Linked DNA regions of Diceros bicornis minor. The protein of the gene in region 1 purifies or fractionates together with the protein of each later gene. This does not show direct contact. Links are inferred from orthologs where the notes say so. Each region holds a gene or a part of one and is shown on either strand. Other genes may lie near its edges.

Region 1 (7,942 bases):
CCATCTTCCTCCACTTTATATGGGCCGCCGCCGCAGCATGGCTTGCCAAGCAGTGCGTTGGTGCACGCCCGGGATCCGAACCGGCAAACTCCGGGCCGCTGCAGTGGAGCGCGAGCACTTAACCGCTTGCGCCACTGGGCCAGCCCCAAAATCGCCATTCTTGAGACCTCAAATAAACTTTTTGCTTCTCTTGTAGTTTATGCCTCTTATTGGTTGACATGTGCCAACTTCAGCCCCACCACCAGCCTCCCCCAGCCCCAGACTCAGCAAGCTCCTTACCCAGTTCCAGTTCTAACACAAGGTTCAGGGGACTCAGTGAGGTTCTCCATTCACGTGTGGTCATCCAGGCAGACTTGCTCCCTGCATACAATGAGCCCCACCGTCCTGAGTGGGCGCCTTTATCTTCCCGCTTCACTACCTACCCCCGTTTCAGAGCGTCTCAACAATGTGCTTCCCTGGCCTTGAACCACAAACCCCAACCTTTGCATCCTCATCTCATTCCTGGGTCATGTTCTTCCACTTTTCCGAGCCCTGGGCCTGGGCTTTGAGGTCTACACCGACTTCCCATGGCCTGGTCTCTGGGTGAGCCGGGGAAGGAGAGGATTCTGGGGGGTGAGGGTGAGAGGCAACTCTATTAGGCACTTAGAAGCCCAAGATCAGCTGGGCCAAACACCAGAAAGCCTCCTATTTTTGTTTACCTCAAATAGAGCTCAATATACCACTCAACATACGTTAAATACCCACTCCTGTGGGTAACACCATCCATCCTTGTCTGCCCTCTTCCCTCCCATCCACCTTCTGCAGACGGAGCCCCCAGTGGGTGTACCCAGGGAATGGCTGGGCTCAGCTCAGGGCTTCCTCGAGGTTGTAGACCCCTGAGGCCCCAACAACCTCTTGCAGGGGCTCCCATGAGAAAGTGCCAGAGCAGTTTTAAAGTTCACAAACATAGACACACTCTCAGATCTCGTGGTCCCCAAAGCAAATTATGCACAGAGCGTGACCCTCTCTTTAGATGTCCGTAAAGACCTGACCCAGCTCAACATCTGCTCCTGGGGCTTTCTCCAGGTGGGCAGGCATTACCAGTTTGGTCCATTAGTAACTCCTTCTTGTGGTACTGCCACATCCCATGGAGCACTGGGCCATGAGTCCACTCATTCAATGAGCCCCTTGTTGAGTGTTTCTTTCATTCAGTCATTCATCATTTACCTTTGGCATCTTTGGGTGTCAAAGATCCAGAGATCAATAATGCAAAGTCCCACCTCTAGGGCAACGTGGGTGTGAGGGGCAGAAGACAAATGAATGATTTCACTGCAGGCTGAGAAGTACTCTGATGGGGGTTAAGCAGGCAGAGTGGGGGCATCTAATGCAGATTAGGAGTGGGTGTGGTCAGATGACTTCCCAGAGGAGACCTTGCTGCATTATCTGTGGAGAAGACTTAAGGAGAAAAACTTAAATAATTTACCTAGTCATTTAAAGCATTATTTTCCTATGAAAGTATGCATCGAAGATTATGAAGTAGGATGCAACATTCCACATGAATTTTCAATGTAAAACAAGCTATTTCAAAGAAATTTCCCAAGTGCAAAAGGTCTACAACCCCAGACCCTCCTGACCCCTCTGACTGTGGTATGAATCTTCTCTCCTCTGTGGTCAGCTTCCAATATTAGTGAAGATTAGTGAATGCTACGTTAGTGGAAATTTTTGAGAAGCATCTATCTCTGGGAAAACATCTAAATTCCTTAGCTTGGCCTACAAGACCTTTCATGATGGGACCCTCTGCCCTAGCAGCTTTCTCTGACATTATTCTCCTACACACTCTCTGTTCTCCACCCAGCAGCTATTTACACCTCCCCAAACAGTAAACAATGTGCCAAGCTGGTTCATGCCTTTGTGATTTTTCACAAGCTGCTCTTTGCCTGGAATGTCCCTGCCCACGCATCCATCTGGCAAACTCCTACTCATCCTTCTATACCCAGCTCAAAGGGCTCCTCTTCTGTGAAGCCTTCCCAGCAGGCCCAAGTGGAATGAGTCAGTTCCTTCCAAGCACCACTCTATGGTGTCTGTGGCCCTCTCCTTGTGCTGAGATTTATTTATTTCACTTTTTCTCTAACTTGATTGTGGGGGCTTGGAGGGGAAAGACTGTATGATTTATATTTGTATCTCTAGCCCTAAGCACAGCATCCGGCATGGTAGGTGTCTATAAATATTTTGCATAAAGGAGCAAATGAACAAAACTTATTTTGACTCCTTTCTTCTCTTTTGCTTTTAGAGTCAAGATAGGAGACCAGCATTTTCTCATAGACTTTGGAAAATGCTAAGAAAACCACACACCACAAAGAAAAAAATTTCCATTTAACCTCTTTTTGTAGCCATTCACTTCTTATAGCTCATGTAGTTCTCCTGAGAACTCACCAACCCACTGTGGTTCTTTGACCTTGAGGCATTAGTAAACAGAGCCAGGTAGGAAAGGGGCAGCGGTGCTGTAGGGTCTAGCCAGGTTCCTCCGAGGCAGAGCAATAGCAGCAATGGGGGCTGACACCTATCACGTTCCAGGCACTGTTCTAAGTCCCTTACTATACATGTATACACAGTGACTCTTAATCCTCATAACAACCCTATCAGGTAGCTACTACTATTACCCCATTTTATTTTATTTATTTATTTATTTTTTGGTGGGGAACATCAGCTCTGAGCTAACATCCGATGCCAATCCTCCTCTTTTTTGCCAAGGAAGACTGGCCCTGAGCCAACATCCGTGCCCGTCTTCCTCTACTCTATATGGGACACCCCCACAGCATGGGGTGCTGCGTGGTGCATTGGTACGTGCCTGGTTCCGAACCTGTGAATCCTGGGCCACCAAAGGGGAGCGTGTGCACTTAACCACTTGCACCACCGGGCAGGCCCTATCCCCATTTTAGAGATGAGGAAACTGAGGCACAGACAGGTTGAGTAACTTGCTCACAATACCGCTAACGAGTGGCAGAGATAGGATTCAAACCCAGGAAGTCTAGCTTGAGAATTTATTCTCCCAACCTCAAGCCTATAGTAGCTCCATGAGCAAAAGATGGACAGTGATGGTAATTTGTTCTAAGAATACAGGGAACAAGAGGTAGAAGAGGAATGTGCCCTTTCACAACCAATCGCCCCAGTCTCGGGCTCTGGGGTGCCCTCTGGGTTCATAAGTGTCCTGTAAAGGTGCTCACTTTGTACAACTCCCAGACCCAGAGGCCCTGTCTCCTCTTTGCCCTGCATTTTTACTTCACCGCGGAGAGGGAGCTATTTGTTTCAGTTGGCTTTGTTCAGCAGAGTCCTCACCAGCCATCTCAGGAAGTGGGCTCCCTGCCATCTTGGGTGGCTGAGGATCTGCTGGCTCTACCTCCCAGGTGCCTTTCACAACAGCACCCCAGGCTAGGGAAACTGGTGAGACCACTTTCCTAGGGTATGTGGGGTGGACCTTAAACCTTCATGGATTCCTGTATCCCATCCAGGACATTTCAAGCAGAGGTCATAACATATGCAAAAATGCAGGAGTGAGAAAAAGCTAGGCCTGTCCATGGAGCAGGTGAGATGCTAGGGTTTGGAGAGAGGGGAGGGAGATGGAATGGACAGGTAGTCTGGCTCTACTTTTGCTTGTGAAAGGCCTTAAACCCACAGTAGAGAAATTTGATTTTCTTCCTCCTATAGGCAGTGGAGAGCCATCGAAGGTTTGTTAGGTTTACAGTGTCACTACTTAAGCTGTTTCTCTTTATTCAACTCTACTTTCTCAACAATTAGGAAACACTGCCATCATGTGGCTGCTGGGTGATGCATACCCCAAACTGTAAATTGACCAATTTTCTCTGATACCATTTAACACGCAGTTAAACCAAAGAACACATCTCTTGATTCAATAGTTGAAGTAAAGCAATGGTAACCTTAATCCTAATGTGAAAAGGATGCTTTTCATAAGGCTTTTCAGGAAATCAATACCTGGGTTCAATTCTTGGATTTCTTACTTTGTTTTCAAAATTCTAATCTAAATCTTTAGTGATTCTGATTGCAAGGATCCTTTCTATTCCCAGTAACCCCTATCTTAGAACCATACTCTCTGGCCCTGCAAAGACTCCACTATCTCCAGGTCAGTTTGGCATCAGACTGTCTCCAGGCCATTTCCCTCAACTGGCAGATTCTATTTCAGTCCTAGGTCTGTCCTCTTTGTATGGCTCAGCAGTTGGACAGATCCAAATTCAAATATTTCCCCCATTTTTTAGCTGGGTAATTTTGGGCAAGTCACTTAACCTCTCCAAACTTCAGTCACTTCATCTGTATAATGGGGATGACACCTTCTCCACAGGGTTATTGTGAGGATGGAAAGATGACACGTGTAGACTGCCTGGTACATCACAACTCCTCATAATAAGGTAGTCCTCCTCCTTCCCTTCCGTCCTCAGGGCACATTGTTGAGCACCCAACAAGCACTCACTGGAGGTCTGTGACTTGATATCCGAGATTTACCTGGTCCTCCACAACGTTCCCTGAGAACAAAACTACTCATCCCTTCAGGCTTCGAGGGACCACCCCTATTTCCGTGTGTTGCCTACAGACCTTGGGCTTGCTGGGGATTGCAATCCACGCGTCTCCTCCGTGCGCAGCAGGCGGCAGGTGCGTGGACGTGAGAGGGGCGGGCGGGGCGGCAGTCATTCCTCGCCGCTTCCTTCCCGGGGGCTGGGGTGTGTGTGTGTGTGTATATAATTCAATCCCCGTGGGATCCGGAGTCTGGCCTCACCCGCGGCTCGGCAGATTGGCTGACGGTCTCAGCTCGCCCCCGCCCTCCTTCCCTCCGCGTCCCAGGTGGCTCAGGCCCCCTGCGGTGTTCTCTGTTTACGGAGAGAGCCCGTCCAAGTTGGGCTCCATCTCTGCACTCGCTCCCCTCCGGGGCCCCGCCCGCCCGGGAAGCGGGGAGAAAACCAGGCCGTGCCATTCCTCGTCCTTGCCCTACCCCTCACCGCGCAGAGAGGTCGGGTAAGGGGGAAGAGGTGTGCGCGGGAGAGGGAGTCCCAGGCCTGGGGGAACCGGCTGTCTCCCCCTCCCAGTACCTCGCGCGGACCCAGGAGTTCTATCCCTAGGCCTAGCTCCCGCTCCCTCTCCCCGCCCTGTCGTGCTCAGGGTGACGTGCCCACCCTGGGCAGGCAGCCAGAAGCTGGATCTCAGGGATGCCAGGTCCCTAGAGGAGGCACAGATGTGGAGACTTCACTCACAGGTGTTCCTCCTCCCCCAGACGGCGATGACCCCCAAGCCGGCCGGACCCCCTGACGGGGGCTGGGGCTGGGTGGTGGCGGCCGCAGCCTTCGCGGTGAACGGGCTCTCCTACGGGCTGTTACGCTCCCTGGGCCTTGCTCTCCCTGACCTCGCGGAGCACTTTGACCGAAGCGCTCAGGACACTGCGTGGGTCAGCGCCCTGGCCCTGGCCGTGCAGCAGGCAGCCAGTGAGGGGCGCCCCGAGGGAGGCGGGAACTGGGGTGGAGGGGCCGTGAGCGTAGTGGTGGGGGACTCACCTGATTACCAGACAAGCTGAGAAAGGGAGACTGGTGGAACCACGTTCTAGAAAAGAGTGGGTCTTGAGGTCAAAGGAAGGAGCTATTAGGCTGGGGGAGGGGTTTTAGGCCAGGCAAACAGCCAAGGAGAACTGTTGGAGCGAGTTTGGGGGTCCAGGGGCGTGTCTTCCGTTGACTCCGCCCCCTTCTAGGCCCAGTGGGCAGCGCCCTGAGTACCCGCTGGGGGGCGCGCCCCGTGGTGATGGTTGGGGGCGTCCTCACCTCGCTCGGCTTCGTCTTTTCGGCTTTCGCCCGCAGTCTGCTGCATCTGTACTTCGGCCTGGGTGTCCTTGCTGGTGAGGGGAGAGGGATACTGGGGTCCTTAACGCGTGATGGTGGAGATAGGAGCTTGTTGGGGGCTGGAGGCTAACGGGTGGGGGCCTCCCGCGAGGCGCCGGGCTGGGATTGCTGGGGCAGGCATCCCCGGCCGGTGCCCTTACCCCGTCCTGTCCATTCGCAGGCTCCGGCTGGGCCCTGGTGTTCGCCCCTGCCCTGGGGACCCTCTCGCGTTACTTCTCCCGCCGTCGAGTCTTGGCCATGGGGCTGGCACTCACGGGCAACGGGGTCTCCTCGCTGCTCCTGGCGCCCGCATTGCAGTTCCTCCTTGATACTTTCGGCTGGCGGGGCGCCCTGCTCCTCCTTGGCGCCATTACCCTTCACCTTATCGCCTGTGGCGCTCTGCTGCGCCCCCTGACGCTCCCTGGCGACCCCCAGGCCCCACCCCGCGGACCCCTAGCTGCCCTCGGCCTGGGTCTCTTCACACGCCGGGCCTTCTCAGTTTTTGCTCTGGGCACGGCCCTGGTGGGGGGCGGCTACTTCGTCCCCTACGTGCACTTGGCCCCTCACGCTTTAGACCGGGGCCTGGAAGGGTATGGGGCAGCGCTGGTGGTGGCGGTGGCTGCGGTGGGGGATGCGGGCGCCCGGCTGGTCTGCGGGTGGCTGGCGGACCAGGGCTGGGTGCCCCTTTCGCGGCTGCTGGCGGTGTTCGGGGCTCTAACCGGGCTGGGGCTGCTGGCCGTGGGACTGGTGCCTGTGGCGCGCAGCAAGGAGGGCTGGGGGGGCCCCCTGCTGGCCGCGGCTGGGGCCTACGGGCTGAGCGCCGGAAGTTACGCCCCGCTGGTTTTCGGCGTGATCCCGGGGCTGGTGGGCATTGGAGGTGTTGTACAGGGAACGGGGCTGATGCTGATGCTGATGAGCCTCGGGGGGCTTTTGGGCCCTCCTCTGTCAGGTAAGGGCCTGAGCCAGCCGACCCGTTCGCAACCATCCTCTGCCCCTGGAGTCCGAGGCCTCCAAATTCCTTTCCCCTTCCCTTCAGGCTTCCTAAGGGATGAGACCGGCGACTTCACCGCCTCCTTCCTCGTGTGCGGCTCCTTCATCCTCTCTGGCAGCTTCATCTACACGGGGCTGCCCGGGGCGCTGCCCTCCTGCGGTGCAGCCTCACAACCAGCGGCCCCTCCCCCTGAGAGGGGGGAGCTGCTCCCCGCTCCTCAGGTTGCCCTGCTCTCCGCAGGAGGCCCTCACTCCACCCCGGACACCACTTGTTGACTATTTTGTTTGAGCCCCTCCCCCAATAAAGAATTTCTATCCGGTTTTCCTGCAAGCTCCAAATGTTAGCCAATCTAGGACGCTGAAAACATTCTACTTAAGATACCCAGAAAGGCTGGTTCAAAGGAACATGATCCCACTAAGCCCTGGGGGAGGGGAAGGGTGTCTGTCTGTCCAGCCGGTCCATTTCTCTTTGCCCAAGTTGTTGCCATTATAACAGGGAATCTTTGAGAAGCTGTCTGCTGTCAGCTTCAGTTTGTTGTTGGGGGGACGACTCATGGGTGCTATCTGCCCCCTCCCCATCCCAGAAAACTCTTTCCTGCATTTCAGTATCCTCCTACTGGCCTGAGGGAAATAAAAGAGTCTTAGACCCAGACTTCAGTTCTCTCAGCTTTAGCTCCCCCTCCCAAACTCCCCCCCACTCTGTGTCCCCCACCATTCTGTTAATGTCTTTTCTAAGTCACAGGGGATAGTGGGCAAGAGGGAGGTCAGTGGGCAAGAGGAACTGTGGTCCAGAGAACAGAGTCCAGGGTTAAAATGCTCTGGGTCACCAGAGCTCCTGGACACCTCCCCTCTACTCCCCAGCCATGACCCATTCAGCCAACCCAAGCATATGGGCCCCAGCTCTTTTTGAAGTTCTGATTATTATCCAGTTTGCTTACTCAGTTTTATCTCAAAGGAGCATCCTTCTTTCCCAAACATCTGTCTTCAGAGAAGAAACTCAGTAGGCAACATTAGAGAGCACGTGTAAAACATGATAAGTCTGTTGGCCTTTGATTTTCACAGGTGATCCACAGCTCAGTAGAGCAGGCTGAACTCCTGAA
Region 2 (7,850 bases), on another chromosome or scaffold:
TCCTGACTTTGTTCAAGTATAGAATCATTTTCTTACAATGTAACTAGATTCACATCTGATGGGCTCCCCTGTATTAGTTTTCTCCTGTTGCATAACAAATTACCACAAACTTAGTGTTTTAACACAAATTTACCATCTCCCAGTTTCCACGGGTCAGAAGTTCAGGCACGGTTAACTTGGTCCTCTGCTCAGGGTCTCACCAGGCTGTAATCAAGGTGTTGGGTGGGACTATGATCTCATTGGAGGCTTGGGGGTTTCTTTCAAGCTCACAAGTTGTTGGCAGAATTCAGTTCCCTGGGGTTTTAGGACTGAGGTGCTCAGCTCTTGAAGGTTGCCCCCCTCCATGGGCAGTTACTTCACAATGTGGCTGTTTGCTTCTTCTAGACAAGCGTGAGGGCATCTCTCTCACTAGGAACGGCTCCCTCTAGCCTGCTAAAATGGTGTCTTATCAAATGTAACCTAATCAAAGCAGTGACTACTCCATCATATTCACATTCAAGGGGAGCCAGGGCCCATGACCAGGGGAGCAGGAATCTTGGAGGCCAGCACAGAATTTTGCCTACCATATTCCATGACTTGTATTTGTATTTGTGGTTTTTTGTTTGTTTATTTTCTAAGGGTCAGTAGCAAATTTTCACCTTTCTTTTTATTAATTTATATATTACTGTCTGATATAACATTTTTCTCCAATAAAATTCTTTTAATTAGATATTATTTTCAGTAAAAGGTAATCCACATCCACATCCACGTTCCCATTCTCATTTTCACCCCTTCCCAGGACCCTGTCACACACTTTTCACTCAATGACAGTTTATATCCTAAAATAAAAAAAGAATAAAGATTTTATAGTATTATTTTACAAGCACATGTTTCAGAAAAAAAATGTTTTCCCTATACTGATTCTCTAATAAGTAAAAAACAGAGCACACTAAAAGTACTATTTTTGTTATCAAGGCCCACGCAGGTCCCAACCTGTCCGTGGTTTGGGGTTGTTATCTGCCTCATAAAGCAAAGTAGAGGATTTGTCTTCTGTGAAGACAAAGTCATCTTCTCTGAAAAATCCTCCCACATATTTGGCTTTGGCGTCCACCAGGAATAGGAGGGCAGGGATTGACGCCTCATAGGTCTGGGTTTTCAGTTGAGGTAGAGAAAGGACAGTGGTTATAGCCAGAAAGTCCAGAGTGGGGTGTAAGTTACCTCCAGAACTCGTCACTGTTAACCCAGCCTGGGCTTCATGACAGTCACAGAAGTGGATTCCTTAATAATAAAATAATACAGTTTCCAAAAATAAAAAAAATAAAAAATAAAAGTACTATTTTTTAAAAGATACTGCAGGAAATAGAAAGACTTATAGAACTATTTCCGGGTACTGAAAAGACTTGTAATGTATTTGGGGAAAAAAGATATAATTACATAACAAGTTGAATACCAATAAAATATTTAAATGGAAATTGTAGCCAACAATGAGGGTCAAGCGACAAGGCTGTAAATTATTAATTGTCAAATTAATCCTACAGACAGTATGAGTTCAGAAGAGAGTGTTTGGATAATTTATTGTGGTGACACAAGCTACCCGAAAATTTAGTGGCTTAAAACAACAACAGCTTTGCCTCACAGTTGTGCTGGCCAGGACTTCAGGCAGTGCTGAGCTGGCAATTCTGCTCCAAGGAGCATCAACTGGAATCATCGAGTGGTACTCAGCTGGGGGCTGGTCTTGTCTGAAGGCTCCAAGAAAGGTCCCTCACAAATCTAGCACCTTACTGCTCCTCAGCTCCTCTCTTTCCACGTGGCATCTCATTGTTCCGTGCCTTCCACGTGGTTTGGGCTTCTTATAGCAAGGTGATCTCAAGGTAGTGATAGTTCTTTCTGGGCAGCTGTCTCATAAGAACAAGGAGGAAGGAAGTGGATGCTCTTATGGTTTGGATCCGGAAACTCACACAGCGTTACTTCATCAATAGTTACTATGTCAGAGGAGTCACAGAGACCACCCAGCTGGAGGAGAGGAAACACAGGACCCTTTTTCTCCCTCAACATACCTCATGAGGAGGACAGTGTCAAAGCATTTGTGGCCATATTTAATTCACCATAGAGGGAAAGTTCAATTTGGAGCAGAAAGGTCAGAAAAAGCTATACAGGGAAGGGAGCATGTGAGCTGGTTTTAAACGATATGGAGCATTTGAAAAAATAAAGTGGAATAGGATAAGGCCAAAAAATATTAAATATCTAAAGATAAAATAGTAACAATGGGGAAAAGACTTTCAAAATGCTTAGCAGCACAAGAATTGTATTTCTTTCTCAATTTATTTTGCTCTAATGACAAAAGCAACAGTGAGAATTAGTCTCAACTTGGGCAAGTCCCTTTTTCCTGTTCATAAACATGTTGATTCAACTGAGAAGATACTTTTTCTTTAAATTTAGAGGTCAGCTCATTTGAAGAGAGGTGAATTTGAGCTCAAGGACTTTATAGGGCGAATTGGGGAAGGTCAGTCAGAGTTCAGCTCGTTTTGAGAAGTGCTTACTGTTAAAACTCTCCAAGGTATGGGAAAATATTTGTAGTTAGTCCTGAGACAGGATGCAGGGCAGTGAGACAGGGGGTGTAATTTAGCAACCATTGATGAGGCAATTTGAGTTTAGCAAGTCGGGTCAAGGTCCTAAGAAGGTGATGATGTATAATGTTTAGTCATAAGGCTTTGTTCAGAAGGGCTTAATCATTATAACCATAATTTTCTGACTGAGAGGAGGCTTTCCTTAGATTTGTAGTTCATAGATAAATGGGTTTCTAGATTAAATAATGTGTGTGTGTGTGTCCGTGTGTGTGTGCGCGCGCGCTCACGCTCCTTGCAGTACATGCAGCCTATTTTGAACGCAGTGCCTGGCACTTGGTAGCTATTTAATATTGCTTAATGAATTGTATTACTCATATTCTCTCAACACCAATTTAAACAATCTACATTCTTTTTTAAAGTTTTGCCTATATAATATTAAACTGGAAACAAAGGAATATTCTAGTAATACATACCCATTAAAAATTAACCATTCCTGGGGCCCGCCTGGTGTCGCAAGCGGTTGAGTGCGCGCACTCTGCTGCAGCGGCGGGGGGGGGGGGTGGGGTGGGGGGGGTGGGGGGGTGGGGTTTGCTGGTTTGGACCCTGGGCACACATGGAGGCACCGCTTGTCAAGCCATGCTGTGGCGGCCTCCCATATAAAGTAGAGGAAGATGGGCATGGGTGTTAGCCCAGGGCCAGTCTTCCCCAGCAAAAAAAAGAGGATTGGCAGATATTAGCTCAGGGCCGATCTTCCTCACACACACACAAAAATTAACCATTTCTGCCTGAAGTGAGCATAGCTCTTGTGTAGCACTTCAATTTTCAAAATTTATATCTAACTTTTTCTTTCAACCATCTTTTTTTGACACTGATATATTTTGAATTTGTGAATATCAAACCTGATATTCAAAAAAAGGGAGCGGGAACAAAGCTCATGAGAAACACTTACTTTAAAAAAATATCCTTTAATGTGTTATAACATCCTGCAGAATCATCAGATCTTACACCTCTTTTACATTATAATGTAGATTTCTCCTCCCCTCTCCAATAAAGCAATAGCTTTTACTTGTTACATTGTATTCGGTCGGGAGCACTAAAAATTCCAAGCTACAGCCTTACTGGGGAAGGGACAGCATTATCTTAATGGTAGAGTCTGATGAATGTCAGCAGGCTTGTGCAGCGCACACAGTATCTACTTTCAGTAGCTCTTATTTCTTGAGCTCTAGGTGGCTCTTCAGAAACTGTCGGGCTAAACAAACAAAAGGAAAAGAAAAACAGACACACTGTGGGGCCTTGGGATTCTGAAACTTTAATCTAGAGAGAACCAGTTAAGCCTTCAGAGACTGGAGGGGAGGATGTGCGCGATTGGTACGCAGAGCAAAGAAAGATTAGTCCAAGATGCAGGACAGCTGGATAGCGCCTTCCACCAGTGCAAACATGTCTCCTTAACAACCCAGGGATGACGGGGGTGGGGGTGGGGGTAGAAAGTATTCCGTCTAACCATCCTCTCATCTGTCCCATCAAAGTAAAAGTGACCCCTGCTTCAGATGAACTGCAAAGGATAGTCTGCAGGCTTCTTTATACTATATATATATATACACACACACAGGAGTTCCAACCTCTCTGCCAGGAGACGGGCTTGACATCACCTGCCCAGCGTCTTCAGCAAGCTCTCTGCCAGAGCCTGGAGGACGGAGGCGGGAGAGGATGCGGCGCGGAGGTGGCCACCGCACATCCGGGCGCGCCTGCAGCCGGCAGCGCGCTGCATAATTGATTGGGGGCCGGGCGCAGTTCTGGGTCGGCCTCGGGCGCGGCGAGAGCGTCTCGGGGGAGGAGGGCAGGGCGGCCGCGCCCCTCCCACTCGCCTTTTCTCGCGCATCCTGCCCTCTGGCCTGGCAGCGGGGGTCGGGACACCGGCGGGTGTGCGCGGGGACTCCCAGCACCGACGGCCGTGCGCGTAGGCAGCTGGTTCTGCGAGGACCGCGGCGGGGCCGCCGGCGCCATGCGCACCCTCTCCGGCCTGCGGGGGCCCCGGGCGCCGCCGCCCGCGCCGCTCCTCCTCCTGTGCCTGCTCGCCGCGGCGCGCCGGAGCTTGGCGGACGGCCATCCCTCAGGTGTGCTGGGTGCAGGGCCGGGGAGGGCCCAGAGGGCGCGCGGGAAGGGGCGCGCGGGGCTCGGTCCCTGCGGGCGGAGGGCCTGGGGGCGCGCCGGGCAAGGGAGGTGGGGAGAGGCGCAGGGATGCTGGCGACGGCGGGTGGGGAGCGGCGGCCGCCTCCTCCCTTTGGCTATCTAAGCTGCACGAGGGCACTGGGGCGGCTCGGGCTCCTCGGCGTGAATCTGGAACGAAGCTCCCGTGAGTCGGGGGCTTGGTCAGAGGGCAGTGACTGGGCTGTTCTAGGAAGACGGCGGTCGGGTGTGAGGGTGCGGGCGGGAGCAAGGCAACGACTTGGCCTCGGCTGAAGTGGCAGGCTTTCTGAAAGCCGCGATCGCTACGGCCAACTCCCTTCACGTGAATCGATAGTAAGGCTTAACTATCACCTCCTCTCTTCCGGGCAGGTGGATTGGCTTTGAGGGTGTTTTTAGAGCTGAGCTGAAAACATACCAACCAACCAACCAACCAACCAAAGCCCCACAACTCATAGGATACTGTGTGTGTCGTCTTTTACACGGTGGTCTTTGAAAACGAAGTTTTTTGTGATTGTTGTTTTATTGTTTGTTTAAGACACTTTGAAAGAGGAATTTAGGTGCAAAACGTTAGTAAAACCAACACCAAAGTTGCCATTTTAGCTTCACCTGTTTATAATTACTTTTTATGTTGAACGTATTCTGTCTAATCTACTTTCTAATGCAAGTTCCCGTGTTATACATTTCAGTGTTAGCAGCTCATTAGGATAATAGACCACCTCTCCAATTGGCAGTTATTGTCTATCAGTAACTAAAATCGGGATATTATTTTACACGAGGTTTTCAACCTTTCCTAGGAATTCATTTTTATGAGCTTACAGCGTGTAGGTTTTTTGTAACATGCTTTAAAGATGGAAAGATAAAGGGTAAGATTATTCATTTTTTATAAATTGTCCTTTATAAGGCCTAGTTCTTAACAACTTGAACAAAACATTTTGGGATGCTTCAGTTTCTAAATTTCCTTGCCCCACTTCCTGGCCACATATCTTCTTCATTCATACCACCTACAAAGAGCGGGCAAGGACATTTCCCCCCTGGAGCCATCCCTGATTCTCCCATCATTCACCTGAGAATACTGCAGTTCTGAGGACCAGTGCATTCTGGGTTTGTCCTAGAACTTTGGTCTTCTGCCTGGCTGTATGGTATGTTGAGATTCCCAGGGAGCTTTAAAAATACTGATACCCGGCCAGCCCCCCGTGGCTTAGCGGTTAAGTGCTCGCGCTCCGCTACTGGCAGCCCCGTGCCCGCACTGGCGCAGCGCTTCTCGGGCCATGCTGAGGCGGCGTCCCACATACACCAACTAGAAGGATGTGCAACTATGACGTGCAACTATCTGCTGGGGCTTTGGGGGGAAAAAAAAAAGGAGGAGGATTGGCAATAGATGTTAGCTCAGAGCCGGTCTTCCTCAGCAAAAAGAGGAGGATTAGCATGGATGTTAGCTCAGGACTGATCTTCCTCACAAAAAAAAAAAAAATAAATACTGATACCTGGATCCTGCCCTCAAAAATTTTGATTCAGTTGGCCTGGGATTCAGCCTGGACCTCAGGAATTTTAAAGCTCCCGTGTGATTTTAATTATGTGATTCTGAGCGGTTGATAACCACTGCTTTAAAATGATAATGGCCTAGAGAGTGCACTCACTGTTGGGGAGATAGTTATTCTGTTGGCATCAGGGAGTAAGGTTTAAATTGACGTTCAGAGCAGACTTCTACAGAGAAAAAAAGTAGGAAACAAATAAATGACAGTGGAGTAAATTAACAAAGTTGTAAATAAATGGGATGATGTACGTATGTATGGCAAATGTCTGTGTGTATATAGTGTAAGGCCTGTCCTTTTAGCTCCACTTAAGCTAAAATTGTGGAATAATGTGCCATATAAAAGGCATGAAGTAGCATCTCATTTTAAGGCAGAACGAAAAATTGTCAGGCAACCTCATCTCATTTTATAGATTCTGTATTGATCTTCATGAGATTCATTTTCCTCGTTGTTAAAGGATATTGTGAATTTTACTGGCTGTTTTTTCTTCTAGGTGCTTTGAACTACTTGGAAATAGGTGTTCTATAAACCTAAGACTTCGGGCCAAAGTTTAATAATAAAAATGGTTAAAATTTTTTATATTTACTATATAACAACTATGTGCCAGGCATTGCTTTATGCAGCTTGTAGCCCTATGGGTTAGCTTTTATTATCTCTGACTTTCAGATGAGAAAATTGGAATTTAGAGAGGTTAAATATTTGCCCACTTACACATAGTTAAGCAGTAGAGCAGGAGATTTAGCATGGTCGGATCTGACTCCCAAGCCTGTTTTCTTAAACACAATACTCAATTGTCTTTCTGAGATAACTCGGTATGTCTATGGAAGTTTAGAACTACCGACAGAGAGCACAACGTGTGAACTTAAATGCTTGATTTGAGCTGAAGAGCATGCTGACACATTTCCCCCCCTCCTTTTCTCCCCAAAGCCCCACTAGATAGTTGTATGTCATAGTTGCACATCCTTCTAGTTGCTGTATGTGGGACGCCGCCTCAGCATGGCCTGACAAGCAGTGCATTGGTGGGCACCCGGGACCTGAACCCGGGCGCTAGTAGCGGAGCGCGCGCACTTAACCTCTAAGCCACAGGGCCCGCTGCTCACGCATTTTGAGCCCTGGAATAAAGTTAAGCACAGGGACTCACCTTAACTCTTTTAGGCTGTTTCAATTAAATAAGAAATGTAGGGCTGGCCCCGTGGCTTAGCGGTTAAGGTTAAGTGCGCGTGCTCCGCTACTGGCGGCCCCAGTTCGGATCCCGGGGGCGCACTGACGCACCGCTTCTCCGGCCATGCTGAGGCCGCGTCCCACATACAGCAACTAGCAGGATGTGCAACTACGACATACAACCATCTACTGGGACTTTGGGGGACAAAGAGGAGGAGGGTTGGCAATAGATGTTAGCTCAGAGCCGGTCTTCCTCAGCACAAAGAGGAGGATTAGCACGGATGTTAGCTCAGGGCTGATCTTCCTCACACACAAAAAATAATAAGAAGAAATGTAAAATATCTTTGTAAAAGAGAAATATTATGTAGATGGGAATATTCAGACATCACTGTTATTCCTATTTTACGTGGAACAAATTGAGAGA

The links. Proteins that work in one complex are often made in the same cells at the same time.
Region 2: the proteins of SLC16A11 (region 1) and EMB purify together in Homo sapiens (co-immunoprecipitation; 3 studies listed by BioGRID and IntAct, counting the BioPlex papers as one, with this or other methods). This does not show direct contact. The link is inferred for Diceros bicornis minor from reciprocal best matches to the Homo sapiens genes SLC16A11 and EMB.

Annotation. Positions count from the first base shown.
Region 1 is NC_080757.1:11,216,657-11,224,598, forward strand, and holds SLC16A11 (monocarboxylate transporter 11), read left to right. Parts: upstream 1-5,248; 5' UTR 5,249-5,263; coding exon 5,264-5,465; intron 5,466-5,725; coding exon 5,726-5,869; intron 5,870-6,033; coding exon 6,034-7,118; 3' UTR 7,119-7,164; downstream 7,165-7,942. UniProt on the Homo sapiens protein: Proton-linked monocarboxylate transporter. It catalyzes the transport of pyruvate across the plasma membrane.
Region 2 is NC_080759.1:24,653,573-24,661,422, forward strand, and holds the start of EMB (embigin), read left to right. Parts: upstream 1-4,328; 5' UTR 4,329-4,548; coding exon 4,549-4,660; intron 4,661-7,850. UniProt on the Homo sapiens protein: Plays a role in the outgrowth of motoneurons and in the formation of neuromuscular junctions.